4 linked regions of the Anolis sagrei genome follow. The main gene of each other region encodes a partner of the protein of the gene in region 3 in a complex. Links are inferred from orthologs where the notes say so. Each region holds a gene or a part of one and is shown on either strand. Other genes may lie near its edges. The genes, in order: DEPTOR, RICTOR, MTOR and MLST8.

Evidence for each region.
Region 1: the proteins of MTOR (region 3) and DEPTOR are in contact, whole or in part, in a cryo-EM structure (PDB 7PEC), measured with the Homo sapiens proteins. The link is inferred for Anolis sagrei from reciprocal best matches to the Homo sapiens genes MTOR and DEPTOR. Residues at the interface, in NP_001373429.1 of Homo sapiens: Met304, Gly305, Phe306, His1494, Cys1498, Trp1501, Gln1525, Asp1527, Ser1528, Glu1530, Glu1531, Cys1534, Met1535, Ile1536, Arg1538, Arg1547, Gln1554, Leu1556, Leu1559, Gln1562, Cys1563, Lys1566, Arg1683, Leu1685, Asp1686, His1687, Lys1710, Ile1711, Phe1714, Gln1715; in NP_073620.2 of Homo sapiens: Arg54, His56, Leu57, Lys58, Thr59, Tyr60, Pro61, Val101, Arg116, Lys119, Asp121, Gly122, Thr123, Phe124, Lys131, Ala132, Arg135, Arg138, Lys142, Glu177, Gly178, Glu179, Glu185, Cys304, Asn305, Lys307, Gly335, Asp336, Ala337, Val338.
Region 2: the proteins of MTOR (region 3) and RICTOR are in contact, whole or in part, in a cryo-EM structure (PDB 6ZWM), measured with the Homo sapiens proteins. The link is inferred for Anolis sagrei from reciprocal best matches to the Homo sapiens genes MTOR and RICTOR. Residues at the interface, in NP_001373429.1 of Homo sapiens: Arg1028, Asp1032, Lys1068, Leu1069, Asp1108, Asp1109, Tyr1110, Asp1150, Lys1187, Asn1196, Val1200, Gln1207, Asp1210, Val1211, Cys1214, Arg1215, Lys1218, Gly1219, Tyr1220, Thr1221, Leu1222, Ala1223, Glu1226, Glu1227, Asp1228, Leu1230, Ile1231, His1234, Arg1235, Arg1238; in NP_689969.2 of Homo sapiens: Leu204, Arg205, Gly206, Asn209, Arg245, Asp247, Val248, Glu249, Glu251, Arg252, Leu254, Thr258, Asp259, Phe260, His261, Tyr262, Arg263, His264, Ser265, Pro266, Asn306, Gly308, Ser311, Gly314, Val315, Cys317, Ile318, Pro319, Glu345, Ile347.
Region 4: the proteins of MTOR (region 3) and MLST8 are in contact, whole or in part, in a crystal structure (PDB 4JSV), measured with the Homo sapiens proteins. The link is inferred for Anolis sagrei from reciprocal best matches to the Homo sapiens genes MTOR and MLST8. Residues at the interface, in NP_001373429.1 of Homo sapiens: Leu2269, Arg2270, Met2271, Ala2272, Pro2273, Asp2274, His2277, Leu2278, Thr2279, Leu2280, Met2281, Gln2282, Val2284, Glu2285, Val2286, Glu2288, His2289, Asn2292, Asn2293, Glu2536; in NP_001186102.1 of Homo sapiens: Tyr20, His22, Asp42, Ser43, Gln44, Val45, Asn46, Tyr62, Asn87, Glu105, Gln148, Thr174, Arg221, Tyr222, Leu224, Ser268, Arg270, Gly271, Trp272, Trp274, Ser290, Lys313, Val316.

What each region holds. Positions count from the first base shown.
Region 1 is NC_090024.1:21,848,857-21,856,859, forward strand, and holds the start of DEPTOR (DEP domain-containing mTOR-interacting protein), read right to left. Parts: upstream 3,568-8,003; 5' UTR 2,991-3,567; intron 1-2,990. UniProt on the Homo sapiens protein: Negative regulator of the mTORC1 and mTORC2 complexes: inhibits the protein kinase activity of MTOR, thereby inactivating both complexes. DEPTOR inhibits mTORC1 and mTORC2 to induce autophagy.
Region 2 is NC_090022.1:277,985,312-277,993,691, reverse strand, and holds the start of RICTOR (rapamycin-insensitive companion of mTOR), read right to left. Parts: upstream 3,293-8,380; 5' UTR 3,197-3,292; coding exon 3,148-3,196; intron 2,968-3,147; coding exon 2,920-2,967; intron 1-2,919. UniProt on the Homo sapiens protein: Component of the mechanistic target of rapamycin complex 2 (mTORC2), which transduces signals from growth factors to pathways involved in proliferation, cytoskeletal organization, lipogenesis and anabolic output.
Region 3 is NC_090033.1:7,029,519-7,037,468, reverse strand, and holds the start of MTOR (serine/threonine-protein kinase mTOR), read right to left. Parts: upstream 3,128-7,950; 5' UTR 3,048-3,127; exon of another isoform or gene 3,033-3,047; intron 3,022-3,032; exon of another isoform or gene 2,899-3,021; intron 258-2,898; 5' UTR 216-257; coding exon 96-215; intron 1-95. Other genes in the region: EXOSC10 (exosome complex component 10), read left to right, coding at 3,400-3,507, 5,276-5,412, 5,665-5,788, 5,895-5,999, 6,073-6,241, 7,820-7,931. UniProt on the Homo sapiens protein: Serine/threonine protein kinase which is a central regulator of cellular metabolism, growth and survival in response to hormones, growth factors, nutrients, energy and stress signals.
Region 4 is NC_090034.1:21,490,346-21,498,025, reverse strand, and holds the start of MLST8 (target of rapamycin complex subunit LST8), read right to left. Parts: upstream 3,535-7,680; 5' UTR 3,442-3,534; intron 2,974-3,441; exon of another isoform or gene 2,892-2,973; intron 1,845-2,891; 5' UTR 1,834-1,844; coding exon 1,705-1,833; intron 1,592-1,704; coding exon 1,540-1,591; intron 823-1,539; coding exon 660-822; intron 275-659; coding exon 199-274; intron 97-198; coding exon 1-96.

The sequences.
Region 1 (8,003 bases), on a different chromosome or scaffold from region 3:
CTCACAAGAAAACAACAAAAGCAATGTATACACACAAAAAAGGTTTCCATGTATGGGTTGTAGGTTTTTCCGGGCTATATGGCCATGTTCTGGAGGCAATTTTTCTCCTGACGTTTCGCCTGCATCTATGGCAAGCATCCTCAGAGGTAGTGAGGTCTGTTGGAAGTAGGAAAAATGGGTTTATATATCTGTGGAATGACCAGGGTGAGACAAAGGACTTTTTGTCTGCTGGGGCTAGGTGTGAATGTTTCAGCTGGTTACCTTGATTAGCATTCAATGGCTTGGAAGTGCTTGGGGGGAATCTTTTGTTGAGAGTGATTTTATGTGCCTGTTTGTTTCCCCTCTGTTGTTTTGCTGTTGTAATTTTTGAGTTTTTAACATTCACACCTAGCCCCAGCAGACAAAAGTCCTTTGTCTCACCCTGGTCATTCCACAGATATATAAACCCATTTTTCCTATTTCCAACAGACCTCACTACCTCTGAGGATGCTTGCCATATATGCAGGCGAAACAACAGGAGAAAAATTGCCTCCAGAACATGGCCATATAGCCCGGAAAAACCTACAACAACCCAGTGATTCTGGCCATGAAAGCCTTCGACAATACGTTTCCATGTATATTTCCCCCTTTCCGGTGTCACCTATTGTCAACACCTTAATAATTCTGTACTCATCTCTCACTTATATCCATCCTGTTTCACTGTTTTCATACTCTAAGGACTTTATTGCATGAAGCTATTTGGGCAGTCAGGGATAGTGGCAGTTTACTGGTATGGTTATTCTTTGGATGTCTAAACTGCATTTCTAATTTTTATATGGAACTTTAAATGACTGCAATACTAGAAGTTTGGGGAGTGATCAAATATTTCATTTGGGGGTGTGGCAGCATTCAATTTGGGAAGCAATGCCCTCGATTCTGCCCCTCCATCGCAATGCTCTTACTGTAACATCCAGCCAACCCATATCTAGATTCTCCTTCTGTAAGGATGGTCTCTCCTCCCATTCCCTGGCAACCTGCATCTCCAGAGGCAGCTTTCCAAAAGGCTGTTATGCCCTCCTCCCTGATTTAATTGCAAATGTGATGTATCAATCTCTTGTCTTTTTCGCTTCCTGCAGCCCAGTCCACATCCTAGCCTCCAGCTCTTTCGCAATTCGCAGCCCATAAATGCCTTTCTTCTCTGGCTTAACAAGTTGTCAGCCTTCCCAGTCCTTTAATTAAATTAATGTTCCTTGCAGACCCACACATTCCTTCAATGCACAATCCCTTCTGCAGCCCAGAAAAGAGAGAGAAAGAAAACAGATACATTTAAAAAAAAATAACCCTTAAATCAATGGAATCATTTTTGCCCCAGACAGTTTGGGAGATGTTAGTTTTTAGACAATAATGATAACAACAAAGTCTATGTGTGCTTCTTTTGTCCACCTGCTGGGCATTGATAACAACAACAACAACGGTCAAATACAGTCTCTTTTGTCCACCTTCAGGAAATCAATAATAATAGTAGTAATAATAATAATAGCAATAATAATAATAACAGTCAGCATAGCGATCTTGTTTGCTGTGTGCTAATCTTTTTATGCATCAAATAATAGTAGTGGTATTAATAATAGTTTCTTATGGACTTCAGCAATATCAATACTTATAATAATAGTCCAATCTAGCTTCTTTTGTCAACCTACCAGACATCAGTAAAAAAAACAACCCATGATTATCATTATTATAGTCAAATATATTTTCTTTTGTCCACCTTGTGGGCATCAATAATAATAACACTAGTCGAATTGGGGTTTTTTTGCCCACCTTCAGGACCTGAGCAACAATGACATCATTGTGTTGTCCAAGGCTTTCATGGCCAGAATCAGTGGGTTGCTATGAGTTTTCTGGGCTGCATGGGCATGTTCCAGAAGCATTCTCTCCTGACATTTCACCCACATATATGGCAGGCATCCTCAGAGGCTGAGGAGTCTATTGGAAACTAAATAAGTGAGGTTTATATATCTGTGGAATGTCCAGGGTAGGGGAAAGAACTCTTGTCTGCTTGAGGTATGTGTGAATGTTGCAATATGCCACCTTGATTAGCACCTCCCAACAAAGGATTCCCCCAGGCAGCAACTAGCAAACCGCAGGCCATTGCAGGTGGCAAATTGCAACATTCACACCTATCTCTAGCAGATGAGAATTCTTTCTACATTCTACAGATATATAAACCTCACTTGCCTAGTTTCCAACAGACCTCACAACCTCTGAGGATGCCTGCCATAGATGTGGGCGAAACGCCAGGAGAAAATGCTTCTGGAGCATGGCCATACAGCCCCGGAAAACTCACAGCTACCCAATGACATCATCATCATAATCAATCAATAATAACACTGTACCAGTTTTGTACACCTTCTGAACAGCAATAGTTATAACAATAGCCTGAATCCTATTGGTTTGGTGGGTGTGCAAGAGCTCCCACTGAATTCTCTAATTCAGTTTGCTTCCAGTTGCTGTCCAATCATGATATTTCTTAACCATTGGGTGCTATTTACAAGGGAAAGGCAATGCAAGGAATAGATCTGTCCTAACACTGGCTCTTTGGGGTGTCATGCAAGGGGGGGGGGTGAGGCATTGCAAGAGCACACCCACCAAACCAATTCCTGAGTGGTGAGCCAAGCTATCGCAAAACCCCATAGATCCAATTCATTTACTCTCATTGGGACGAACAGGATACAGGTGATAAAGAATAATAATAATGGTAGTGGTTTGGTTCTTTAACCTGCTTCTAATTCTCTAATTCAGTTTGCTTCCAGTTGCTGTCCAATCATGCTATTTCTTAACCATTGGGTGCTATTTACAAGGGAAAGGCAATACAAGGAATAGATCTGTCCTAACACTGGCTCTTTGGGGTGTCATGCAAGGGGGGGGGGGGAGAGATTGGCAGGAGGAATTGCAAAGCCCTCTCCCCCAAATGCCCTTCTTTCTTTCTTTCTTTCTCTCCTTGGACTCACCTGGATTGCAGGAGGGGAGCAGCCTCCTCTTTCCTTTCTTCCTTCCCTTTGGAAAGCCTTGGGCTGGTGACAGGTTTGGGATGCAGCAAAGCCCCAGCCTAAGCTCTCCAGCCCCAAAGGCAGCAGCAGCAGCAGCGTCCCCCTCCGTCCAGCCCCAAAGCCATCTTCCCAGTGCCTTCCAGTGTCAAACGCGTGTCATCATCCCGACGCGGTTCGGTGTCAAACAGCAAACTGGTTCAGCTCCAGGTCACAAGAGGAGGAAGGGGCAAAGGGCAGAGGGTCCAACGAGGCAAAGGAGGAGAAAGAGGAGAAAGAAGGAGGAAGCGCGCTTGCCTGCCTGCCTGCCTGCCTGCCTGCCTTTTGCAGGATCCAGCTGCCGCTTTGCCAAAGCGAGGAGGAGCTGGGGAAAGCTCTCTCTCTGGGTTGGCTTTCTCTCTCTTCTCCTTCTCCCTCCCCTCCCTCTGCTTCCGTTCAATCCTTCCTGGGCTGGATCGACCCTGTCATATCATTAACCGCATTGCACTGGGTCATATAATGGCAGGGGAGAGCCAGCCCCTCGTCTCCTCTGCTGCTGCTGCTCTCCAAATGCGCGCACCCCAAAAGCGGGTCAAGGGGAGAGCGCCTCCCTTTGTCAATCCGGTGTACTCAAGGCTTCTTTCTCCTTGGGGGCGTCTACACCAGCCATGGGCAAACTTTGGCCCTCCAGGTGTTTTGGACTCCAAGTCCCAGCATTACTAACAGCCTCAGGCCATTTCCTTTCCCTCCTCAGCCGCTTAAGGAAGGAGCCTGAGGCTGTTAGGAATGGTGAGAGTTGGAGTCCAAAATACCTGGAGGGTCAAAGTTTGCCCATAACTGGTCTACACTGTAGAATTTATTTATTTACTGCATTTATATACTGGGTTGTTGTAGGTTTTTTTCGGGCTATATGGCTATGTTCTAGAGGCATTCTCTCCTGACGTTTCGCCTGAATCTATGGCAAGCATCCTCAGAGGTAGTGAGGTCTGTTGGAATTAGGAAAATGGGTTTATATATCTGTGGAAAGACCAGGGTGGGCCAAAGGACTCTTGTCTGCTGGAGCTAGGCGTGAATGTTTCAACTGACCACCTTCACTAGCATTTGATAGCCTGGCAGTGCCTGGAGCAATCTTTTGTTGAGAGGTGATTAGATGTCCCTGATTGTTTTCCCTCTGCTGTTTTGCTGTTTTAATTTTAGAGTTTTTTTTTAATACTGGTAGCCAGATTTTGTTCATTTTCATGGTTTCCTCCTTTCTGTTGAAATTGTCCACATGTTTGTGGATTTCAGTGGCTTCTCTGTGTAATCTGACATGGTGGTTGTGAGAGTGGTCCAGCATTTCTGTGTTCTCAAATAATATGCTGTGCCCAGGTTTGTTCATCAGGTGCTCTGCTATGACTGAATTCTCTGGTTGAAATAGTCTGCAGTGCCTTTCATGTTCCATGATTCGTGTTTGGGCAATGCTGCGTTTGGTGGTCCCTATGTAGACTTGTCCACAGCTGCATGGTATACGGTAGACTCCTGAAGAAGTGAGAGGATCCCTCTTGTCCTCTGCTGAACGTAGCATTTGTTGAATTTTCATGGTGGGTCTGTAGATAGTTTGTATGTTGTGTTTCCTCATCAGCTTCCCTATGCAGTCAGTGGTTCCCTTGATGTATGGCAGGAACACTTTTCCTCTGGGTTGGTTTATATACTGCTTTTTTATTATTTATTTACAGCATTTATATTCCACTTTTATCACCCCAAAGGGGACTCAGGATGGATCACAGTGGGGGAAAAAAGTATTTAGTCAGATACAGATTGTACAAGTTCTCCCACTTCAAAAGATGGGAGAGGCCTGTAATTGACATCATAGGTAGACCTCCTTCCTTTGATTGCTGGCATTTTCTGGTATTTCTTTTCTGGTGTTGTAAAATACCTCCCTGCTTAAGCAGTGCCTAATTTCTCTACTCATAGCTCACAGCTGTTTTTGAACTACTTAGGTGGACAGTGAGCTAGGCTGAAGGTCAGGTGCTCACCCCGACCTGGGCTTCAAACTGCCAACCTTTCAATTGGTGTGATCTATTGCTTCTGATGAGGAAAATCAAAAGCAGTTTCTAACATAATAAAGACAAAATCTAATGCCGTGCATACCTGTAAAAACCAAAACATAATAGCTAGACAATAACATAAAGACCTAACCAAATTAAAACATAAAACATAAAATAACATCAATAACATTTATATTAAAACTCACCCATCAACAACACTATTTAAAAAGTTATTAGAATCATGCCATTCAAAATCTAATCCATACTCGTTCTATTTGTTCGTTCACTATTCCTTGTTCTCTTATTGCACTAAGAACTTTTATTGAACTAAGAACACATTTTTACTTTCTTTCTGAATGTCAGGAGGGAGGGGGCTGCTCTAATTTCACTAGGTAGGGAGTTACATAGCCGAGGGGCCACCACTGAGAAGGCCTTGTCTCTTGTCCCCACGTCGCACTTGCGAGGGAGGTGGAATTGAGAACAGGGCTTCCCCAGAAGATCTTAATCTCCAAGGTGGATCATAGAGGGAAATATGTTCGGACAAGTAAGCTGGGCCAGAATTGTTTAGGGATTTATAGGCTAAATCCAGCACTTTGATTTGTGTTCGGTAGCAGACTGGAGAGAGTTGTGTGCTCCCTGTATGCTGCCCCAGTTAGAAATCTGGCTGCCACCCGCTGGGCCACTTAAAGCTTTCAAACAGTCTTCAAAGGCAACCCCACGTAAAGTGCATTGCAGTAGTCTATCCTTGATGTAGCAAGAGCATGGACCACCATGGCCACTTCAAAATGGACTCCAATTGCTTTGGCTCAATGCTATTGAATCCTGGAATTTGCTATTTTGCAAAGTCTTTAGCCTTCTCTGCCAAAGAGTGTGGGTTGCCTCACCGAACTATAACTCCCCCAATCCCATATCATTGAGCCATGCCAATTCAAGTGGTGTCAAACTGCCATATTTCTACAATGCCATATTTCTCAGGAAGAGCCCCCGGTGGCGCAGTGGGTTAAACCCCTGTGCCGGCAGGACTGAAGACCGACAGGTCACAGGTTCAAATCCGGGGAGAGCCGGATGAGCTCCCTCTATCAGCTCCAGCTCCTCATGCAGGGACATGAGAGAAGCCTCCCACAAGGATGATAAAAACATAAAATCATCTGGGCGTCCCCTGGGCAATGTCCTTGCAGACGGCCAATTCTCTCACACCAGAAGTGACTTGCAGTTTCTTAAGTCGCTCCTGACAAAAAAACAAAACAAAAACAAAAACAAAAACTAACCTCAGGAAGACGCTTTGCTGATGAGGGAAAGATGAATTCCTAGGGTGCATCTGCACTGTACAATTAGTAGTAATAATAATAATAATCATCATCATCATCATCTTTATTTGTATCCCATGCCATCCCTGCCAGAGGGGACTCGGGAGTGGCTTACAACACAAGAACAGTGCAGACCCTAAACAATAATTAATTAAGATAAACAACAAAATTAACTTAAGACAGCCAAAGCAGCACAAAAAATATAAAATAAACCAACATATTAAATGTATGTAGTCGGATACTACCTCAATTACTGTGGAATCATGGGGTTGGCAGTTTTGCAAGGGAGTTGTGGTTTGGGGAGAAATCAGATGTCTTCTCTGTCAAAGAATGCTGATTACTCCCCAAACCACAGCTCCCAGGATTTCATAGCATTTAGCTATGGGAGTCAAAGTAGAATCAAGTTGTATCAATTCTGCAATGGAGATGTTCCCTTCATGTGCCTGCAAGAGAACAGCCCCATAGGTTGGTAGGCTTTTTTGGGAGACACTGTAGAAATGATACAGTTTGACATCACTTTAACTGCCTTGATGTTATGGAGTCATAGGATCTGAAGTTTGGTGAGATACCATCAGTCTTTGGCAGAGAAGGTTCAAGACTGTATAAAACTCCAAGAGTTCATAGTATTAAGCCATGGCAGGCAAAGTGTGGCCACACTCAATTAATTCTTCAGTGTAGCTGAACCCCTTGTGTGCCTTCAAGTTGTCTGATCACTTAGGGCAAACCTATGGATTTCCATAGGGTTTTTATTTAGGGAAGGGATACTCAGAGAGGATTTGGACAGGTCCTTCCTCTGAAATATAGCTTAGTGCTCCCAGCAAAGTCTGGAAGCCAAGCCTAATGAGGAGCAGTTTAGGCAGCTAGGTATGTTGAGCCTGGGGAAGAGAAAGCTAAGAGGGGGGCATGATATGACAGATATTTGAATATTTTATTGTTTATTATTTGAAACATTTATATTTCACCCTTCTAACCCCGAAGGGGACTCAGGATAGAGCACAATATATATACGGTTCTGGTCCAGTTTACCTGTCCTAACTTATCTCCCTCTAGGAATCACCAAGGACCTTAAGAACATCTGGCAAAGCCCTGCTCTCAGTCCCACCGCCACCGTAGTCACGTTTGGTGGAGATGAGAGGTAGGCCTTCTCTGTGGTGGCCCCTTGGCTGTGTATCTCCCTCCATTATGAGATTAGATCTGCCCCATCCCTCCTGATCTTCCAGAAGAAATTCAAATCCTGGCTGTGGGATCAAGCGTTTTCAGAATAGACTAATTTACTGGTGAAGATAAGGTTGTAGTGGACCACAGTGGACTGATTTGGATGACAATTTGAATTGGCAAACTGTTTTAATGTATATTTATAACTTTTTAATGTATGTTAATTGTGTTTTATGTTATGTTATTATTTTGTGTTGGCATTGAATAGTTGCCTGTTGGAAGCTGTCCTGAGTCCCTCTTTGGAAGTTGAGAAGGACAGGGTATAAACATTGTAAATAAATAAATATATGGCAAGCATTTCATGCTGGGATATTAAATAACTATAAATATACACAAACCTTTTTTGGTTGTTTATTTGTTCAGTTGTTTCTGAATCTTCGTGACCTCATGGACCTGCCCACACCAGAGCTCCCTGTTGGCCGTCACCACCCCCAGCTCTTTCAAGGTCA
Region 2 (8,380 bases), on a different chromosome or scaffold from region 3:
GGCCTTCTCAGTGGTGGCCACTCGACTATCCCTAATGAAATCAGACCAACCCCCTTCTCCTGACCTTCAGGAAAAATCTAAAGACCTGGATGTGGGATCAAGTGTTCAGTTAGTAATCCACTAGAGAATATGGAATAGTACAATGACACTTAGGAATGGTTTCTAACTGGAGTGGCGTACAAGGAGCATACAACACCCTTGCTACTTCAGCTCCACTGGCTGTCAGTCTACTACCGAGCACAATTCAAACTGCTGGCTTTAGCCTATAAAGCCCTAAATGGTTTTGGCCCAGCTTACCTGTCTGAATGTATCTCCCCCATGTACCAACCTAGATACTAAGATCGTCTGGGGAAGCCCTGCTCGTTCCCATCTTCTTCACAGGTGCGGCTGACAAAGACGAGGGACAGGGCCTTCTCGGTGGTGGCCCCTTAGCTATGAAACTCCCTCCCCAGGTGGGCCCGCTCTCTCCTATTCTATGGTTATGGTGAAGGGGCATATGGTGAAGCGTTTGGAGAGTAGCACTGGGCTGTATGCAGCCACGAAGTGAATGGCAATGTGATTGGAACGGCTCCTGGATTATGATTTTTGGTTATGAATGTTAGTGTTTCATGATTTTCATGACAGAATTGGGCCAAACTTCCCACACTGAACCCCCATGACCAACATAAAATACTTAAGGCCATCCAGTCCAACTCCCTTCACCAGGGCAAGAAAATGTAATCAGAGCCCTCCTGACAAAGATAGATATGATTCACACACACACAGATATAATATAGATTTGAAAGGATCCCAAGAAGGACAATTATATGTTGCATGTTTCAGAGTAGGCAAACTAGACAATCTCCACATCAACACTGACATAGAAACAAGAAGAAATACTGTTTACCCATAAGCATAAAGGAATCACATATATTACTAGCTGTCCCCTGCCATGCGTTGCTGTGGCCCAGTCTGTTCATCTGGAAAATAAAGGGAATGAGAAAGTACTGGTTTCTAATATATGTAATGTCTTGATGCTTGAGGGTAAACAATATTTCTTGTTGTTTCTTTGTCAGTGTTGATGTGGAGAGTGTCTGGTTTGTTTACTCTGGAACATGCAACATATCATTGTCCTTCTTTAAGGGTCCCTTTCAAATCTATGATACTATATATCTGTGTGTGTGAATCATATCTATCCATCTATCTAACTATATCTATGGCTGGATGGCTCTTTGTCAGGAGGACTTTGTTTACGTTTTCCTGCCCTGATGAAGGGAGTTGGATTGGATGGCCTTAAGTAATTTCTGTTGGTCATGGGGGTTCTGTGTGGGAAGTTTGCCCCGATTCTGTCGTTCGTGGGGTTCAGAATGCCCTTTGATTGTAGGTGAACTGTGAATCCCAGTGTCTACAACTCCCAAATGTCAAGGTCTATTTTCCCCAAACTCCATCTGTGTTCATATTTGGGCGTATTGAGTGCTTGTGCCAAGTTTGGTCCAGATCCATCATTGTTTAAGTCCACAGTACTCTCTGGATGTAGGTGAACTACAACTCCCAAACTCAAGGCCAATGCCCACCAAACCCTTCCAGTATTTTCTGTTAGTCAAGGGAGTTCTGTGTGTCAAGTTTAGTTCAATTCCATCGTTGATGGAGTTGAACTATAAATCCCAGCAACTACAACTCCCAAATGACAAAATTATAATTTTTCAAGTGATGGTCACTCCTTGTGTTGTGAGACATTTTGTTGCCAAATTTGGTGTGATTTCGTTCATTGATTCATTTGTTTTTAAGGAACTCATTATGCACAGAGCATTTATAGATAGATAGATAGATAGACCATTACTTTATTTTCCAGATCACCAGACTGGGCCACATTTCAGCTGTCATGTCCAGCACTTTTAACTTATTCATTACATTTGGCCTGGCGCTAGTTTTAAATGTGTCATGATCTATTGTTTTTGATGTTTTACTGTTATTGCTTTAATGTTTATTGGTTTGTTTTATGAGTTTTATTGTTGTATTAGTTATGCTATTATTTTATTGAGGGCCTTGGCCTTTGTAAGCTGCACCGAGTCCTTCGGGAGATGTTAGGTAAAGGTAAAGGTTGTCCCCTGACATTAAGTCCAGTCATGTCCAACTCTGGGGTGTGGTGCTCATCTCCATTTCTAAGCCGAAGAGCCAGCGTTGTCCATAGACACCTCCAAGGTCATGTGGCCGGCATGACTGCATGGAGCGCCGTTACCTTCCCGCCGGAGCGGTACCTATTGATCTACTCACATTTGCATGTTTTCGAACTGCTAGGTTAGCAGAAGCTAGGGCTGGCAGCGGAAGCTCATGCCGCTCCCTGGAATTGAACCTGTGACCTTTTGGTCAACAAGCTCAGCAGCTCAGTGCTTTAACCCACTGCGCCACTGGGGGGGAGGGGCGCTAACATCAGGAGATGTTAGCAGGGTACAAATAAAGTTAATAATAATAATAATAATAATAAGGACAATTATATGTTGCAAGTTTCAGAGTAGGCAAACTAGACAATCTCCACATCAACACTGACATAGAAACAAGAAGAAATACTGTTTACCCATAAGCATAAAGGAATTACATATATTATAAACCATTACTTTATTTTCCAGATCACCAGACTGGGCCACAGCAACGCGTGGCAGGGGACGGCTAGTGTGGCATTGAATTATTGCCATTTGGGAAGCCGCTCTGAGTGGGGTAAATAAATAAACCATTCTATCTCTTGCGGAGAAGGAGGGGGTAGCGGCTGCCCGAAAGATGCACCTCGAGCCCTCCTTGAGCCTGGGAAGGCTTCCAGGCAGGCCTCGCCCTCCTTTCTCCCTCCCTCCCATGCCTGCATCTCCGGCTTCCCATTCACTCCCATTCTGAAGACACACGCCTAGAGAGACGCAACCCCCTCCCCGCTCTCCTTTCCCCAATTACCTCGGGTGAGATCGAGGGGGACGTTCTCCTCGCCGCTGTCGTTCCGGCCTGTGTGGGGAACAGGGAGGGGAAAACGAGATCTGGGTTAGAGAGAGATGGGGAAAAGGAAGAGGGGCCGCGGACCCGACGGGAAAGGAAGAGAAGGGAGAAGCCGCCGCCGCCGCCGCCTTCTTTGTCCTTGCCTCCTCCCTCTCTTTCTCTCCCCTTCCCGGCTTCGGCCAAGCTCACCTCGGATGCGGAGGTGCCTCAGCGACCGGGCGCGGAGGTTCACCGCCATGTTGACGGGCGCCGCACTCACAACACCGGAAACCTCGCCCACTCTCGCGAGAGCTGGGGAAGGGAAAGGTTTTGGCTTGCCTGGTTACTCGAGAGAGAGAGGAAGGAAGGCTGCCTGGTGTGCGCGCGCTCCCTCCCTCTCTCGCGCCTCCTCCCCCTCCCTCCGCCTTGTGCGCGCGCTTGCTTCACTTCAAGCAGCCCAATCCCAGATGGGAAAAAAAAGGAGCCAATGATTGACAGGAAGGCAATGTCCCGCCCCCCTCCCTGCTGTTGAGCATCTGCATGTTTACAGCCTTTTGAGATTGAGGCTTCTCTATCAAATCCACGTCCATCCCTTGCAGATAGATAAAATAAATGGGTTGTTGTAGGTTTTTTCGGGCTGTATGGCCATGTTCTAGAGGCATTCTCTCCTGATGTTTCGCCTGCATCTATGGCAAGCATCCTCAGAGGTGGGAAGTGGCAGCCAATAATAGTGAAAGGACCAAGGCAGAGACATCTCCAGCTCATCCCCTGTTTGGGTATCAGCCAGCACGTCAACGACTTAAATCCAGACATAGTTTTCTAAGATCTACAGAGACACTCGCTGGAACACCCCAGGAAGTGAGAGTCCAAAAGTGGCAGGCTCAAACCCAGAACTTCAACCAATGGCTGATACCAAATGAGAGACTCCCCCCTGGGCACACAGAAGACTGGGTGACTTGGAAGGAGCTGAACAGACTGCGCTCCGGCACCACAAGATGCAGAGCCAACCTTCAGAAATGGGGCTACACAGTGGAATCCTCGACATGCAAGTGCAGAGAGGAGCAAACCACGGACCACCTGCTGCAATGCAACCTGAGCCCAGCCACATGCACAATGGAGGACCTTCTTGCAGCAACACCAGAAGCACTCCAAGTGGCCAGATACTGGACAAAGGATATTTAATCAACTACCAAACTCACACATTTTGTATTTTCTCTGTTTGTTTGCTTTGTTCTGTTAGAAATGTAATATAATTGACTGGCTGCCCTGACACGAGAAATAAAATAAAAATCCTCAGAGGTAGTGACCTCACTACCTCTGAGGATGCTTGCCACAGATGCAGGCAAAACGTCAGGAGAGAATGCCTCTAGACCATGGCCATACAGCCCGAAAAAACCTACAACAACCCAGTGATTCCGGCCATGAAAGCCTTCGACAATACAGATAAAATAAACCTTAAATGTAGATACACCTCAGTGGGTTAAAACCCTTGTGCTGGCAGGACTGAACACCGACAGATCGCAGGCTCAAATCCGGGGAGAGCGTGGAGGAGCTCCCTCTGTCAGCTCCAGCTCCCTACATGGGGACATGAGAGAAGCCTCCCACAAGGATGGTAAAACATCCAGGAACCACTTTGACCAGGTGCCACTTTGACCAGGGAACAGTTTGACCAGCGACCACTTGACCAGGGACCACTTTGACCAGGTGCCACTTTGACCAGGGAACAGTTTGACCAGCGACCACTTGACCAGGGACCACTTTGACCAGGGAACAGTTTGACCAGCAACCACTTGACAAGGGACCACTTTGACCAGGAACCACTTTGACCAGGAACCACTTAACCAGGGACCACTTTGACCAGGGACCACTTTGACAGGAACTACTTTGACCAGGTGCCACTTTGACCAGGGAACAGTTTGACCAGCGACCACTTGACCAGGGACCACTTTGACTAGGTGCCACTTTGTCCAGGGATCACTTTGACCAGGGAACAGTTTGACCAGCGACCACTTTGACAGGAACCACTTTGACCAGGGACCACTTTGACCAGGTGCCACTTTGACCAGGGAACAGTTTGACCAGGGACCACTTTGACCAGGAACCACTTTGACCAGGAACCACTTAACCAGGGACCACTTTGGCCAGAGATCACCTTGACCAGGGACCACTTTGATCAGGGACCCCTTTTACCAGGGACCACTTTGACCAAGGGTCACTTTGACCAGGGACCATCCTCCAACATGAGTAACAAAAGGCTTACGAATCAGTTTTTGGTCAACTTTAGATTCGGTTTGGGTTTTTGGGGTGCTGATTCAGAAAATTGCATTAGATAAACCATATCAGCTGCCCCCCACACACAGAATTTGCTTTGACATTTCTGTGTTGTGAGATATCTGAAATATATCTGAAACATATTTTCAATACACATTGAAAATAAAAGTAGCAGTTTTAGTAATTAATAGTAATATTACTATATTTTTAATTCTCCCCACAGCTCTAGGTGGGGCAGAAAATAATAATAATTATTATTATTATTATTAATTATTTATTTATATCCCGCTTTTCTCCCAAAACAGGACTTACAATCAAAACAGGACAATGTAAAATAAATTACCATGTAATATATTAAAACACACCACTGCAAAACACATATAGTAAAATACATGGTGCAATACTTAAAATTTAAATTTAAAAGTCACAGTTTATGAATTGTTAGACCGTAGGCTATTATCATACAAAATAAATAAACACAAGATAAAAGTGCAACAATTCTAAATCCCTGCAAAAAAAATAAAATAAATCTTGTGTTTTAAACAGTAAATGCTAGTAAAATGCAATACAGTTAAAACACTTTCGAATATAAATGGCAATACTATAATTAGGTTAGGTAACAGCACCCCCAAAGCAATAAGCTGCAATCGTTAGCAATAACATTGATTGAAATTAGTTTGAAAAATTGCCAAAGAAATGAATGATACTGCAAACTGTATTGTGTTTTCTTAATTTTATTTCGGCACCAAAAATACACTAGAAAGACCTGCAATACTGAAAAATGCCTAGGTTATTAAACTTGGTAATTAAACCAGAACCAAGAGTTTAGGAAATTTAATTTTGTAGAGTAAGAAAGGGACAAGAGTTGGGAATTGCAGGCAGGAATGTGTCATTTCCATTCCAAAGCAGGTTTGTGTGCATGTGTGTGAATGAGAAAAATGCAAAGTTGAAATATCCGTAAATATATATTGACACAAGAGCCACAAGAGCCACTACCGGCTGTTAGGAATTGTGGGAGTTGAAGTCCAAAACACCTGGAGGGCCAAAGTTTGCCCATATCTGTTCTATAAGAAATGCCATCTTACTTCACCATTGTATATAGTAGGACTTGAGCTTTCATAGATTTTCGTATTCATGAAAAGTCCCTGTACATTGTGTAGCTAAGCCCCACTGTAGAGTAAAGTACCCATATGTTTGTAGCATGTGTTATATATACCTTATAAATCTCTGTGTCATTATTTTGTTGTTGTTATTATTATTATTGTCATCATCTTTGTTTATACCTCACCTTTCTCTCCATGGGGACTCAAGGCGGCTAACAATCCATACTAGACAAGTTTAAAAAGAACAATACAAAAGTTTTAAAAACCCATTAAATAGTAACAGTGTGGTATGTTAGCTACTTCTAACTGATAGTTTAAAGTTTGCTTTTAACTCCTTGCAGAAACAAATCCAACTTGAGCTCCTTGATATTGAAATAGATCAGTTTAAAATGGCTGCTGATGTTATGACTGATAGGATAGATAATACCAAGAGTGATCTTTTGTGTGAGGCAGAAAAGGTACATTTCAGCTGAGACCCTGGTGTGGAATTGCGTCCAAAAACAAACCAGAGTGAGGATAAAGGCGTTGACTTTCCCTTTTCTACATCTTCAAATGCAGGCAAACAAAGAAACATGCTTCTACATATGTAACATCATCACTACATCACTTTAGCATGATAGAAATATCAAATTATATCTTCTACATGCAAGAGGCATGTCTTCATTTTTTTTCTAAAGCAGCTTACAACAATAGAGATCCACCAAGGGGCCTACTTTTGACCTGTTAGGAGGGAGGGAGGGAGGGAAAATCCTTACTTTTAGAAGTAAGAAGGTATGGCTTGTGTTAAGCTGTACCAGTCTTTGGAGTGTATAGATAACATGCCCCCCTTCTCCTCCCACTTTCAACACAGATCTCCTTCCGCATTCTTTCTGTCCTGTCAGCTTGGCTTCCTAATACAGAAAGAACCTAATTTTTTTCCTACATTTCAGTGCTTGTAATGTACATACAATATATGTATAAATATCTATAGTTCCAATATCTCCACATCACTGATAGTGAGATCTGAACTGTAGATACAGAACCTGAGGCACTGATACTGAGTCCAATAAGTGGCAACCTGCACCAACAATCAGCTGTCCTTGTGAGTCTGTGCACATGGTGAGCAAGAAAAAGCCTCATGTTTAGAAATAAAGCTGACCAAGTTGAAGACAAAGCCACTTAGGTATTTTATTCAATCAACTCAAAATGATGCCAGCATGCAGTAATCCGTAAAAGTAAGCTGAGATACATTGCAGTCAAAAACAGACATTTTTATACAGTGCACTTTGAAATTCCAGTTCTTGCCCAGCTGGCTTTGCTGTTATTGTCTAATCCTTGATGACGTCAGAGAGGGCCCCCTGTAGAGGAGAGTCCAGGAGTCAAAGTGTTGAAATGGGTTTCCAATGGATTATGTGGTCCCAGCAAGGGACAAACAATATGGGCCATCAGGACCATAAGGAAGGCTGAGTGAAGGAAGATAGACACTTTTGAACTGTGGTGTTGGAAGAAAATTCTGGGAGTGCCTTGGACTGCACAATCAAACCAGTCCATACTCCAGGAAATAAAGCCTGACTGCTTTTTGGAGGGAAGGATATTAAAGGCAAAGATGAAGTACTTTGGTTACATAATGAGAAGACAGGGTACCTTGGAGAATGTAATGATGCTAGAGAAAATGGAAGGAAAAAGGAAGAGGGGCCGACCAAGGGCAAGATGGATAGAAGTGAGTGGCTTGACCTTGAAGGAGCTGGGGATGGAGATGACCGACACAGAGCTCTAGCGTGGGCTGGTCCATGAGGTCACAAAGACTCAGAAGCAACTGAACGAATAAACAACTGAATTTCCAAGATAGCCAAGCGTTAACATATGTACTACCAGTTTGTGAGATATGGGCATAAACTGCCAATCCCCCACATTGGATAGTTTTAAAAGCACTGGTTTAAAATAATCCACCTATAGAACTATTATTTATTTATTTATTTATTTACGACATTGAGTCCTCTGGAGGGGACTCAAGGCAGCTTTACATATAGGCAATGATTTGATGCTTTAAAATACAATGTACACTTAAATAAATATTAAAACAGAATTAA
Region 3 (7,950 bases):
CACTGCTCGGACACAAAGAGGATGCGTGTTTCCGTCCTTTGGGCTCCTGAATTCAAAGCCCCGCATTCCCGGAGCCCCCCCCCCCTCTCTCTCACCTCTCGGAGCTCCATGGTCACATAATGCTGCAGGTCTTTGGCCGCTTTTGCCCGGGTTTCTTCATTCCTGCTCTTGAGGCCGGTGGCAAACTGCTGGAGGATAATGACGGTCCCCGACATGGTGGCGGTGGTGGATCAGAATCTATGGGGTTCTTTAGGGTCCTGGAAACAGAAGGAAACCATTCTGAAAAAGCCAAAGGAAGAAAAAGGCCGCAACGTAACACAGCAAGTGCCGCCATCCTCGGCAGCAGGCTTGCTATTATTATCAATATTATTATTATGATTATTTGATGCACAACAGGACTGGTACACAACAAACAAGATAATTCTGCTGGCTTTTGTATTCGATCACACATTGGACACTTTCCAAATGTCTAGGACTATGTGATGTATCGGCGAATAATGCGTGCAGATCCGAGTAGGCAGCAGTGTTATTAATATTATTATTAGTCTCCTGCTATTGTTCTTATTACATTATTAGTATTATCTTTATTATTATTATTATTATCATCATCATCATCATCCTTGGCAGCAGTGTCATTACTGCTGCTATTATTATTATTATTATTATTATTATTATTATCCTACTGCTATTGTTCTTATTACATTATTACTATTATTATTATTACCCTACTACTATTGCAATTAATTATTATCCTACTGCTATTTTTCTTATTACATTATTACTATTATCATCATTATCCTACTGTTATTATTACATTATTATTATCCTACTGCTATTGTTATTTAATTATTATTATTATCCTATTTTTTCTTATTACATTATTATTCCCCTCTTGCTATTATTACATTATTATACTACTGCTATTGTTATTATATTAATATTATTATCCTACTATTATTACATTATTATTATTACTCTACTGTTATTGTTATTCCATTATTATTATTATTATCATCCTGCTATTGTTCTTATTACATTGTTATCATCTTTATTACGCTACTGCTATTATTCCATTATTATTACCCTACTGCTATTATTATTACTATCCTGCTATTGTTCTTATTACATTATTATTACTCTACTGCTATTTTTCTGCTTACATTATTATTATCATCATCATCATCATCATCAGCCTACTGCTATTGTTATTACATTATTATTATTATTATTGTTATTATTATTCCTCTACTGCTATTATTATTACATTATTATTACCCTACTGCTATTATTATTACATTATTATCATCCTACTATTGTTCTTATTACATTATTATTATTATTATTATTCCTCTACTGCTGCTATTATTATTATTATTATTCTTATTATTATCCTACTGCTATTGTAATTACATTATTATTATCATCATCCTACTATTGTTCTTATTACATTATTATTATTATTCCTCTACAGCTATTATTAATATTATCCTACTGCTATTATTACATTATTATTATCATCCTACTATTGTTCTTATATGATTATTATTATTATTACTACCCTGCTGCTATTGTAATTACATTATTATTATCATCATCATTATCCTACTGCTATTACTACCTTATTATTATTATAACCTTACTGCTATTATTATTACATTATTCTTATTACCTACTGCTATTGTAATTACATTATTATCCTACTATTTCTTCTTCTTCTTCTTCTTATCATCATCATCATCACCATCATTATCCTACTGCTATTGTTATTACCTTACTATTATTACTATTGTACTGCTATTCTTATTACATTATTCTTATTACCTACTGCTATTGTAGTTACATTATTATCCTACTATTTCTTCTTCTTCTTATCATCATCATCATCATCATCATTATCCTACTGCTATTGTTATTACCTTACTATTATTACTATTGTACTGCTATTCTTATTACATTATTCTTATTACCTACTGCTATTGTAATTACATTATTATCCTACTATTTCTTCTTATTATTATTATTATAATCATCATCATTATCCTACTGCTATTGTTATTACCTTACTATTATTATTATTGTACTGCTATTCTTATTACATTATTCTTATTACCTACTGCTATTGTAATTACATTATTATCCTACTATTTCTTCTTCTTATTATTATTATCATCATCATCATTATCCTACTGCTATTGTTATTACCTTACTATTATTACTATTGTACTGCTATTCTTATTACATTATTCTTATTATTCCTCTACTGCTATCATTATTATTATTATCCTACTGCTATTCTTATTACATTATTATTATCATCCTACTATTGTTCTTATTACATTATTATTACCCTGCTGCTATTGTAATTACATCATTATTATCATCATTATCCTACTGCTATTATTACCTTATTATTATTATAACCCTACTGCTATTATTATATTATTATTATTACTTACTGCTATTGTAATTACATTATTATCCTACTAGTTCTTCTTCTTATTATTATTATTATCATCATCATTATCCTACTGCTATTGTTATTACCTTACTATTATTATTATTGTACTGCTATTATTATTACATTATTATTGTACTGCTATTGTCCTTATTACATTATTATTATTATCATTATCCTACTGCTATTGCCATTACATTATTATTATTACCCTATTGCTATTGCCCTCATTACATTATTATCTTTATTATTGTTGTTGTTGTTATTATCCTCTTCCCTATCAGCCATTTTATTAGTGTTATTAATACTATTATAACTATTTTTATTATCATTATTAATATTCGTGGCCATGTTAGACCTGCTATTGTTGTTAATTACTATTATATTATTGTTATCTAATAGTAATTAACATTATTATTATCCCTGCTCTCATGATCACTCACCTCACAAAGGATATTCTTGCTGTTCTGAGGTAAATTGTGAGGTAAATTCCGTGGTGGACATTCCCCTTCGTTGAGGGAAACCTTCTGAAGGGGAATTGCCCCCCAAAATGTCCTCTTTACTTCCCAAAAATTACCTTTTTTCGACTCACCTCTCTCCTCAGTCTCATCTTCGCCTTTTGCCACCCCGTTCTTTTGACTAGCCAATCAGCTTCTTCGAAATACTAAACAGACCAATAGGAAGGCGCGGCTAGGGTGAGTGACGGGCGTTGGTTCCTGCCCACCACGAAGACAACCTTTCCTTCTCCGCCTCCGCTCAGCGCGAGGGAGGGGCTTCTGGGAATAGACCAATCAAAGGAAAGAATAAAGAAGATCGGCATTAGGGAAACACCAATCAAATGCGTCTCTGGGAAATTTCGCGAGATTCAGCGGGAGTATGCTTTCTTTTCCAAGATGGCGGCTGTGTGAGAGAAGGAAGCGGCGCTCGCTGAGAAAAAGCGGCAAATGGCGGCGAAGGAAGGATTGAGCGGCCCCGACGAGGCGACGGCAATGGAAACCGACCGCGAAGGCTTCGTCCTGCCCGGATTTGGGGACGCAGATGCCTTCGTGAAGGTAGTTTTGAGGGAGGAGAAGGCCCCAGCGGGAGAGCGCATGCGCGCGCTAAGCATGCCGGGAATTGTAGTTTTCAGGGAAGAATGCCCAATTCATGAATCTTAGGCCTCACTTAAAGGATTCTGGGAAGTGTAGTCCTCCAAAAGGACCTTTTCCTACCTATTATTTCCTTTTTATGTCTGCTGGGCTTGGGTTTTACCCCTCAAAGGGAATCTTTTTATTTTAATATTGAATTGAAATAAAATTTTGTTATTTTTGTTATTTTATATTGATTTATTTCAAATTAAATATATTAAATATACAGTAATTATATTGTGTTAGTGTAATCTCTGCTTATTAATTTTATATGCATTCTAATATATTTATTTTAATTTGTCTTAACTTATTTTCCCCATAGAGAATTATATTATGATCTTAATATAATACGTATCCATCAGTTAGTTTTATATTGAGTGTGTGATATAAATAATTATATTTTACATTCATTTATTTTTCCCCCATTTGGAGAGGAGGATTCTGGGAGGTGTAGGTCTGAAAAATGAACATTTCCTTTTTATTTTTATATTTTTAATAATTTATAATTTATTTTCCATACACACACACACAGTTTATATAATTATTCCCATTTTATACAAATTTTTCCATATGTATATATATAGTTTATTGTTCCCATTTATATATATCATACTCTAATTTCCACCATACATATATACCTATATATAATGTAATTTTCCCATTGTAATCATATTTTCCTCATAAATATATTTAATAATTTAATAATTTTGCATACACACACACACACACACACACACACATTGTTTATATAATTATTCCCATTTTATACAATTTCCCCCTCATATATATACATATAGCCATCTGAGGGCTGAGAAAAACGGTATATAAATAAAGTAAATAATATATATATTATTTTTCCCATTTCTATATATTATACTCTAATTTCCACCATGCATATATGTATGTATATATAATGTATTTTCCCATTTTATACATATTTTCCTCATATATATATATTTAATAATTTATCATTTATTTTCCATATATATACATACATATGGTTTATATAATTATTCTCATTTTATACGTTTTTCCCTCATATATATATATATATATATATATATATATATATAATTTATTTTTCCAATGTCTATATATTATACCCTAATTTCCACCATACATATGCTATATACTTATATATAATGTAATTTTCCCATTTTATTCATATTTTTGTCATATATATATATATATATATATATATATAATTTATAATTTATTTTCCATATATACACACAGATAGAGGTAGACATTGATAGATAGATAGAGGTAGAACTGGATAGATAGATGTAGAAATGGATAGATAGATAGATAGATAGAGGTAGAAATTGATTGATAGATAGAGGTAGAACTGGATAGATAGATGTAGAAATTGATAGATAGATAGATAGATAGATAGAGGTAGAACTGGATAGATAGAGGTAGAAATGGATAGATAGATAGAGGCTGAAATGGATAGATAGATAGATGTAGAAATTGATAGATAGATAGAGGTAGAACTGGATAGATAGATAGATAGAGGCTGAAATTGATAGATAGATAGAGGTAGAAGTTGATAGATAGATAGATAAATAGATAGAGGTAGAAATTGATAGATAGAGGTGGAACTGGATAGATAGATAATTGTAGGCTGAACTATCTACCTTGAGTTCCCAAGGCTTCCTTTCCTGACGGTTGTCCTGCCCTTGCTTCCCAGCATGCCCTGGGCTCTGTGGTCTCTGTCACCAAGGCCTCCAATGGCCTCCCACAGCCGGGAGACGAGTACGACTTCTACCGCAGCTTTCCTGGCTTCCAGGCCTATTGTGAGACGCAAGGAGACCGGCTTCTCCAATGGTGAGTCTTGCATCGAATGTTGGAAGGGACCTCCAAAGGCCATCCAGTCCAACCCTATTCTTCTGCCAGGCAGGGGGCACCTTCCAAGCCCTCCTGACAGATGGCTATCCAGCCTCTCAGACATTGGAAGCTTCATAAGGCTATAGAAAATTGGAATCCTGGAGAAAGCAAACCTGCTTCCTCCTCCTTAGGACCTTCTTCCCAATATGTAGACATGACTCTTACGAAGCTGTATTCTGTACCATTTCCCAGCATGAGCAAAGTGATGCAGTATCACGGCTGCCGAAGTCACCTCCGGGACCGGAGCACCGTGACGGAGCTGGAGGACAAGTTCGACCTGCTGGTGGATGCCAACGACGCCATTTTGGAGCGCGTGGTGAGTGCGATCGCCCTGTATAAGTTGGAGGGCTTGGGTGGCAGGAGGGGGCTGGACTGGATGGCCTTTGGGGGTCCCTTCCGACTGTATGGCTTCATAATTGCAGGGCACGCTCTTGGATGAAGCGGCCGGCGTGAACAAGAACCAGCAGCCGGTCCTGCCTTTGGGTTTGCAGCCTCCCAAGACCATCGTTTCCAGCTGGAACCGCAAGGTGAACCTCCTCTTCCTTCTGTTTACATATTATGTGGGAGTGATGTTGTGCTAACGCCCATGTCTCCTCCCAGCAGAGCAGCGAGGCTAGCAAGCGGTCCCGGCCCGAAACCTTCCGCCTTCTCCACGCCAGGAACATCCTGCGCCCGCAGCTCAGGTTCCGGGAGAAAGTGGACAACTCCAACACCCCCTTCGTCCCCAAACTCTTCGTCAAACCCAACGCCATGAAGCCGCTGCCAGAAGGTGACCGAACGAGGGTCAGAAAGGGGCCTGGCTATGGCGGAAGGACAGGGCTTCCGGGAGCAGTTGTGGCCATCTGTCCTCCTGACTCTCACTAGAATTTGACTTTGTGGCAGATGAGAAACATGATATATTTGGAAAGTTACATTTGGGGGGGGGGGGTCCTGTGTCCCTAGCACCAGTAAATGTGGAAGGGAGTTTGGAGAGTTAGTTTTTATATTATTATTATATTTTATCATATTATATTATTTTATTATGCTTTTATTTTATATTTTTCTTTTTTCTTTTATTATATATTTTATGTTTATATATACACAAACACACAAATACGTGTGTGTATATCTTTCTTGTATTATTGGCAGATGAGAAAGATTATATATTTGTAATGTTATGTATTACATATTTGCCCCTAACCCCCTATTATTATTATTATTATTATTATTATTATTATTCGGGAGTTATATTGAACAGATAATATATTATTATTATTATTATTATTTGGAAGTTATATTGAACAGATAAAGTATTACTGTTATTATTATTATGGAGTTGTATTACACAGATTTATTATTATTATTATTATTATTATTTGGAAGCTACATTGTAAAGATAAAGTATTATTGTTTTTATTTTATTATGTGATGCAGTATCACGGCTGCCGAAGTCACCTCCGGGACCGAAGCACCGTTTTAATTTACATTTTAATTTTAATTTTATTATATTTTTATGTTTTTTTATATATATCTTTTATTATTGGCAGATGAGAAACATTATACATTTGTAATGTTATATATCATATATTTGGCCCTTATTATTATTATTATTATTATTATTTGGAAGTTACATTGAACAGATAAAGTATTACTATTATTATTTGGGAGTTATGTACAGATAAAGTATTACTATTATTGTTATGGAGTTATATTACACAGATTTATTATTTGGAAGCTACATTGTAAAGATAAAGTATTATTTTTATTTTATTATGCTTTTATTTTACATTTTAATTTTATTATGTTTTTATTTTTATATATATCTTTTATTATTGGCAGATGAGAAACATTATATATTTGTAATGTTATATATTATATATTTGCCCATTATTATTATTATTTGGGAGTTATATTGTACAGATAATATTTTATTATTATTAGGAAGTGATATTGCACAAATAAAGTTTTACTATTATTATTTGGGAGTTATAATGTACAGATAATGTATTATTATTATTATTATTATTAGGACGTGATATTGCACAAATAAAGTTTTACTATTATTATTTGGGAGTTATATTGTACAGATAATGTATTATTATGATTATTATTAGGACGTGATATTGGACAAATAAAGTTTTACTATTATTATTTGGGAGTTATAATGTACAGGTAAAGCATTATTATTATTATTATTATTATTATTGCGTTTCCAATTATTAATGGCTTCACCTCATTTGAAGTTCTCTGTCCTGTGGATATTTAAGGATATTACGTTATTTTTGCGTAATTGGCATGCATATGGTAAAGCTGGTAATTGGCCAATATACTTCCAATATATTGAAACTGTTTACCTTTGGGCCCCCAGTTCTCTCGAAAAGCAGAAGGGAAAGGCAGGAGCGGCCCGAGGACCTGGACGTCCCTGCCGCTTTGGCCGACTTCCTCCACCAGCAAAGGACCCAACAAACCGAGCAAGACATGTAAGACGTGTATTAAAAC
Region 4 (7,680 bases), on a different chromosome or scaffold from region 3:
TGAGACCTCAGGTTCTGGGATGAGCTGCTCGTTGTGGTCTGTCTTCAGGTCCCAGATGTGGATGGCCCCACTCTGGTCCCCGACAATGAGCTCTGCCTGAGAGACACACAAATGGCATCAGTAGAAAAGGAAAAGGAGGAGGTGTGAAAGGAAGGAAGAAAGGGCCTCATTCTCCACCACTCTGGAACAAATAAATACCTGATTAGGATGCAGGCAAACACAGTTGATAGGTGCGTTCACCTGGAAGATGCGCTGGCACTGCAGGTTGCGTGACCTGGAAAGCAGAAATCGATTCCAGACGGGTGAAGGTCAACAATCCAATGGATATATTATACCCAGATATAATATACATTATAATGTGTGAAGGCAGAGGAATGCAGCACATTTGCAGAAGTGTGCCCTCTTGGGTCCACACCGTGGATCTAAAAAAGCATTGGTGAATTGCATTCCATGCTCTGTGCCTATTTCACATTTAATAACGTTCTGCACTTGGAGAATTCTGGTATCTGTAGTCTGATGAGGCACTAGAGCTCTCTGGGGGAGAATTCTAGCTGCCCCTCCTGAACTGGATATCCTAGGGTCCTGTTGCCATGCTAAGTGGGATGACAGTGTTGTGCAAAAGCCCCATCAGGGTTAAGGAGAGGAAAGAGGCCACAAACCGGAGGTCCCAGATACGGGCCATGCAGTCTTCTCCCCCAGTGTACATCCAGCGCCCATCTTCATGGAAACCCACTGAGGTGATGTTCTTGCTGACTCCGTCGTAGTTGATGACGGGGTTCGGGTTGTTGGAGTTCAAGTCATACATCCGGATGTGCTGGTAGCCTGCAGAAGAGACACCATCTCAGCTCCCAAAGGCCTGGAAGTTATTTATTAATGCCAGCATCACAAATAAGAGGGTTCAGGTGCAATTCTACTTCTCAGAGAGAGGCAGCCATTCTCAAAAACACATAATTATTGACCCAGGGTGCATCTGTAGAATGAATGCAGCCTGACACTGCTTTAACTACAAGGGCTCAATGCTAATGAATTCTGCAGATGTATGTTTATAAAGTCTTTCATCTTCTCTGCCAAAAAGTTCAAAATTACAACTCTATATTTTTGAGCCATGGCAGTTAAAGCAATGTCAAACTGCATTCGTTCTACAGTGTAGAATGATGCACTTGAAGTGGGTCAAGAATGGTTCAATCTCTATAACGTGGACTTCTAGCACTACAAGGAAAGAAAGTAAAACATCAAGAAACATTGCCTCTTTGACAAAAGATTTTAAGAATAAAACTATACGGCTAGAGTGGACTCGGTGTTCATCTACACTTTGAAGGTAATACAGTTTGGCACTATTTTAACTGTCCTGGCTTGAAGCTGTGAAATCAGTCAGGCACCTGTGCTTTTTGACAGAGAAGCTCAAAAAGTAGCACTGAGCCACTGGGGTTAAGAGTGGTGTCAAACTGTGTTCATTCCACAGTGTAGATGCTCCCTTGAAAGCATGTAATAAGCACACAAACTATGCTACACCATGCTGTCTGCAGATGGCATCCTTACCGGCTGCAGCTATCATGGTCCGGTCCGGGGTGATCTCCAGAGCATTGACCTGCTGGCAAAAGGGGTTAAGGGGCAAACAGAAGGCAACCCCATCCAGCCCTCCAAAAAACCCCTAGGAAGGTTGTAAACCCCAGCATTCTGCCTTCCCATGCAGCCAAAGGATACAGAGTCCTGGTGCTGGACGGTCCGGGTGCAGATCCCGCTGTGGGCCTGCCAGAAGCGGACAGTATGGTCATAGCCAGCGGTGGCCAGGATGACTGGGTCGCTGCCCACGGTGCCCTGTGCGGTGTTCATGCCTCTGTGGCCTGAGGAAACATCCACACAAAGGTCTTTCTTACTGGACTCCAGTTTTCATCTTCTTTATGGTTCTTTCTTTCCTTCCTCTCTGTTTCCTTCCTACACCTTCTCCTTCCTTTCTTTTTTCCCTTCCTTCCTTTTTTCCTTCTTTTTTTCCCCTCCCCCTTCCTTTCTTCTTTCTATGCTTTCCCTCATACACCTTCTCTGCTCTTTTCTTTTTTCCTTCTTTCCTCTCTCCCTCTTCCTTCATTCCTTTTTTCTCTTCCTTCCTTCCATCCTTCTTTCCTTCCTCTCTCCCTCTTCCTTCCTTTTTCTCTCCCCTTTCCTTCTCCCCTTGCTTTCCCTTATACCTTCCCTGCTTTTTCCTTCCTTCCTTCCTTCTTTCCCACTTCTTTCCAGCCTTTCGACCTTCTCTTCTCCTTCTCTCCCCCTCCCTCTCTCCCTTCCTCTTCTGTCTCCCATTTCCTTCCTTCTTTCCCTTTTCTCCCTTTCTTCCTTCTTCCCTCATGCAACCTCCCTGCTTCTTCCTTCCATCCTTCCTTCTTCTTCTCCCAAATCCTTTTTTCCAACCTTTCATCCTTCCTTCCTCTCTTCCCTTCCTTCCTTCCACCCATCCGTCCGTCCTTCCTTCCTTCCTCTTCCTTTTTCTCTCCCTTGCCCTTCTTTCCCTTTTCTCCCTTCCTTCCTTCCCTTGCTTTCCCTCATAGACCTGCCCTTCCTTCTATCCCTCCTTCTCTCCCCCTTCCTTTTTTCCAGCCTTTCACCCTTCTTTCCTTCCTTCCTTCCTTTCTCCCTTCCTTCCTTTCCCATCCTTTCCTCTACCCTCACTTTCTGCCATTAAAACAAATGCATATAAAATAGTACAATACATTAAAAACTACTCAATGAAGTGACGTACATGCATAGAAGCATAGAACCTTTCCGTTTAATAAGGCTTTTAACTGAAGTATGGGAGGATATTAGGGATTTTAATGTTGGTACATAGGGAAGCAAACACGGGGGAGGCTATTGCTTTTACCTTATTTTATGTATCGATGTTTTTATTATGGTTTTACCTTTTTATGATGAATGTTATATGTTGGTATGCTGTAAGCCACCTTGAGTCCCAGTTGCGGAGAAAGGTGGGGTAGAAATACCCTAAATAAATAAATAAAAATAAAAATTGGCCCTTTCCATCATTAAAGCAAATGGACATAAACATATTAAAAAGGCATTAAAAACTACTCAATGAAGCAATGTACATGCATTGAAATAATAAACAATTAAGGACCTTCTGACATTACAGCAAAGAGAAATTAAAATAATAAAATGCATTTTAAAACTCTCGCAAATGGGGATCATTTTGGAGTATTTGGGAAAAAGGAATGCACAGTCTGCATCATTATGATTACTGTTGTTGTTGTTGTTGTTGTAGGGTCTCTGAGTTTAGAGGCCCTTAAGCTGGGAGATCCAAGCTTCTGGTCCTCATTGAGCCTCTTATTCCCATCTTGCAGGGCTCATTGTCAGCATAAATTAGGGCAGAAAATGGACAACCTTGAGCTCAGAAATTACACAAACGTAAGTATAAGAAATATAAATATTTTGGGTGGGGGAATTGCTACTTACCTTCGGAATTAAAGGAAGGACTACTGGGCAGACAGGCAGACTAGGAACAAGACAGCCACGGCGCATGCGCACACGAGCATCCATTGGGCACCTAGTGCGCATGTGAAACGAGGAAACCAGTCCGCATGCGCAGAAGAGACCCTAGAACACATGGGAAAGTGTTCCTAGTTCTATGGCCGCCCCATAGGGAAGCAGCGACACCTGTCGGCAGAGAGTGGGAAAGCCAGAGCAGGGCCCAACTCGGACATGCGCAGTAGCGTCTGTCAGGGAAGCTCACCCAAGCCTCCAGTCCCTGGATGATGATGTTTTTGATATAGAAAATGATGATTTATGATAATGCATAAATCATAAATCCTGTCTGGCTTCCAATATAGGGACTTCAGACAGCAAACAATAAGACAAATTAATAGGAGTATGCATATATACATAGTAAATATACAATGTGTGTGTATATATATATGTATATATTTATATACTTCTGTTAATGCATTGCACCACCACACATGCATATATATGCAATGCATTAAGAGAGGTATACATACAATAATAACATTTTAATGTAATAATACTAATATATATAATAATAATGTTGTAATATATATAATATATACGACAACTTATAATAGTACAATATATGTTATGATACCAATAATATAATATACTAATAGTGTATTATATATAATAATAATAATATAGTACTTTATAATTATATATAATAATTGTATATTATATATTACATGTAATATTATTAATATAGTAATGTATAATACTAATATTGTGCTATGCTAATATAATGCATATACATGTAATATTGATAATGATGTTATAATGTAATTCAATATAATACTATTATTATTATATTGTACTAATAATATTAATAAGTGAAGGAATCTGCTCTTCATAATTCTGAATGAAGCAGAAAAGCTAGAAGAGGCTAATAAAAATAATAATTTATTATATTAGTACTAATAATATTAAGTGGAGAGATCTTCTCTTTCCCACATAACATTATTAATAATGTAATATATTAATAATCTAGTAACAATAATAATAATAGTAATAATAATATCTGGAAGGATCATCTTTGCCCAGCCCTGGATGGGACAGATGGCTAGAAGGGGGTAATTCATAACAACAACAACAACAACAACAACAATAACAGCAACAATGTTTTGTGTTTGCCTTGTTTATTTTATTGTTATTGAGTTATTTTTGACATTGTGTTGTCGAAGGCTTTCATGGCCAGAATCACTGGGTTGCTGTGAGTTTTCTGGGCTGTATGGCCATATTCCAGAAGCATTCTCTCCTGACGTTACCCATATCTATGGCAGGCATCCTCAGAGGTTGTGAGGTCTGTTGTAAACTAGGCAATTCGGGTTTATATATCTATGAAATAATGTACAGGGTAGGAGAAATAACTCTTCTCTGTTTGAGGCTGTTTTTGACAGTGTGTTTATTATTGTTTGTTTCTTTTTTTTTGTAAGCTGCTCTGAGTCTCATCAGGGGAGGGAGCGGGATATAAAAAAAGCAATAATAATAATAATATACTAAATAATTATTTAATATACTAAATAATTTAATATACTAAATAATGTGGGGAAAGTGGAAAGTAAAAGGAAGAGGGGCCGACCAAGGGCAAGATGGATGGATGGCATCCTTGAAGTGACTGGACTGACCTTGAAGGAGCTGGGGGTGGTGACGGCCGACAGGGAGCTCTGGCGTGGGCTGGTCCATGAGGTCACGAAGAGTCGGAGACGACTGAACGAATGAACAACAAACTAAATAATAGATTAAAATAATAATATCGCAATATAATAATAGAATAATAATAATAGAATAATAATAACCCATGTGCCAGCAGGACTGAAGACCGACAGGTTGGAGGTTCAAATCTGAAGAGAGCACAGATGAGCTCCCTCTGTCAGCTCCAGCTGCCCATGCAGGGACATGAAATACGCTTCCCACAAGAATGGTAAAACATCTAAACATCCAGGCGTCCCCTGGGCAACACCCTTGCAGATAGCCAATTCTCTCACACTGTTTCTCAAGTCGCCCCTGACTTGACATTAATAACAGTAATGTATTGTCAAAGGCTTTCATGGCTGGAATCACTGGATTTTTGAAGTTTTTTCGGGCTGTATGGCCATGTTCAAGAAGCATTCTCTCCTGACGTTTCGCCTGCATCTATGGCAGGCATCCTCAGAGGTTGTGAGGTCTGTTGGAAACTAGGAAAATTGGGTTTATATATCTCTGGAAAGTCCAGGGTATATATTATTGATCATGTTGTTGTTCATTCGTTCAGTCGTCTCCGACTCTTCGTGACCTCATGGACCAGCCTACGCCAGAGCTCCCTGTCGGCCGTTACCACCCCCAGCTCCCTCAAGGTCAGTCCAGTCACTTCAAGGATGCCATCCATCCATCTTGCCCTTGGTCGGCCCCTCTTCCTTTTGCCTTCCACTTTCCCCAGCATAATTGTCTTCTCTAGGCTTTCCTGTCTCCTCATGATGTGGCCAAAGTACTTCAACTTTGTCTCTAGTATCTTTCCCTCCAGTGAGCAGTCGGGCTTTATTTCCTGGAGGATGGACTGGTTGGATCTTCTCGCAGTCCAAGGCACTCTCAGCACTTTCCTCCAACACCACAGCTCAAAAGCATCGATCTTCCTTCGCTCAGCCTTCCCTAAGGTCCAGCTCTCACATCCGTAGGTGACTACAGGGAATACCATGGCTTTGACTAGGCGGATCTTTGTTGCCAGTCTGATGTCTCTACTCTTTACTATTTTATCGAGACTGGACATTGCTCTCCTCCCAAGAAGTAAGCGTCTTCTGATTTCCTGGCCACAGTCTGCATCTGCAGTAATCTTTGCACCTAGAAATACAAAGTCTGTCACGGCCTCCACGGTTTCTCCCTCTATTTTCCAGTTGTCAATCATTCTTGTTGCCATAATCTTGGTTTTTTTGACGTTTAGCTGCAACCCGGCTTTTGCGCTTTCTTCTTTCACCTTGATTAGAAGGCTCCTCAGCTCCTCCTCGCTTTCGGCCATCAGAGTGGTGTCATCTGCATATCTGAGGTTGTTAATGTTTCTTCCAGCAATTTTCACCCCAGCTTTGCATTCATCCAGCCCCGCACATCGCATGATGTGTTCTGCATACAAGTTAAAAAGGTTGGGTGAGAGTATGCAGCCTTGCCGGACGCCTTTCCCAATCTTGAACCAGTCTGTTGTTCCGTGGTCAGTTCTGACTGTTGCTACTTGGTCCTTGTACAGATTCCTCAGGAGAGAGACAAGGTGGCTTGGTATACCCATCCCACCAAGAACTTGCCACAATTTATTATGATCCACACAGTCAAAGGCTTTAGAATAGTCAATGAAGCAGAAGTAGATGTTTTTCTGAAACTCCCTGCCTTTCTCCATTATCCAGCGGATATTGGCAATCTGGTCTCTCGTTCCTCTGCCTTTTCTAAACCCAGCTTGAACATCTGGCAACTCTCGCTCCATGTATTGCTGGAGTCTTCCTTGCAGGATCTTGAGCATTACCTTACTGGCATGAGAAATAAGGGCCACTGTACGGAAGTTTGAGCAGTCTTTCGCATTTCCCTTTTTTGGTATGGGGATATAAGTTGATTTTTTCCAGTCTGATGGCCATTCTTGTGTTTTCCATATTTGCTGGCAAATGGCATGCATCACCTTGACAGCATCATCTTTTAAGATTTTAAACAGTTCAGCTGGGATGCCGTCGTCTCCTGCTGCCTTGTTGTTAGCAATGCTTCTTAAGGCCCATTCAACCTCACTCCTCAGGATGTCTGGTTCTAATTCATTCACCACACCGTCAAAGCTATCCTCGATATTGTTATCCTTCCTATACAGATCTTCTGTATAGTCTCGCCACCTTCTCTTGATCTCTTCAGCTTCTGTTAGGTCCCTGCCATCTTTGTTTCTTATCATACCAATTTTTGCCTGAAATTTACCTCCAATGTTTCTAATTTTCTGGAAGAGGTCTCTTGTCCTTCCTATTCTGTTGTCTTCTTCCACTTCCATGCATTGCTTATTTAAAAATAGTTCCTTATCTCTTCTGGCTAACCTCTGGAATTGCGCATTTAACTGGGCATATCTCCCCTTATCCCTGTTTCCTTTTGCTTTCCTCCTTTCTTGGGCTACTTCCAGTGTCTCAGCAGACAACCATTTTGCCTTCTTGGTTTTCTTTTTCTTTGGAACGTACTTTGTTGCCGCCTCCTGAACAATGT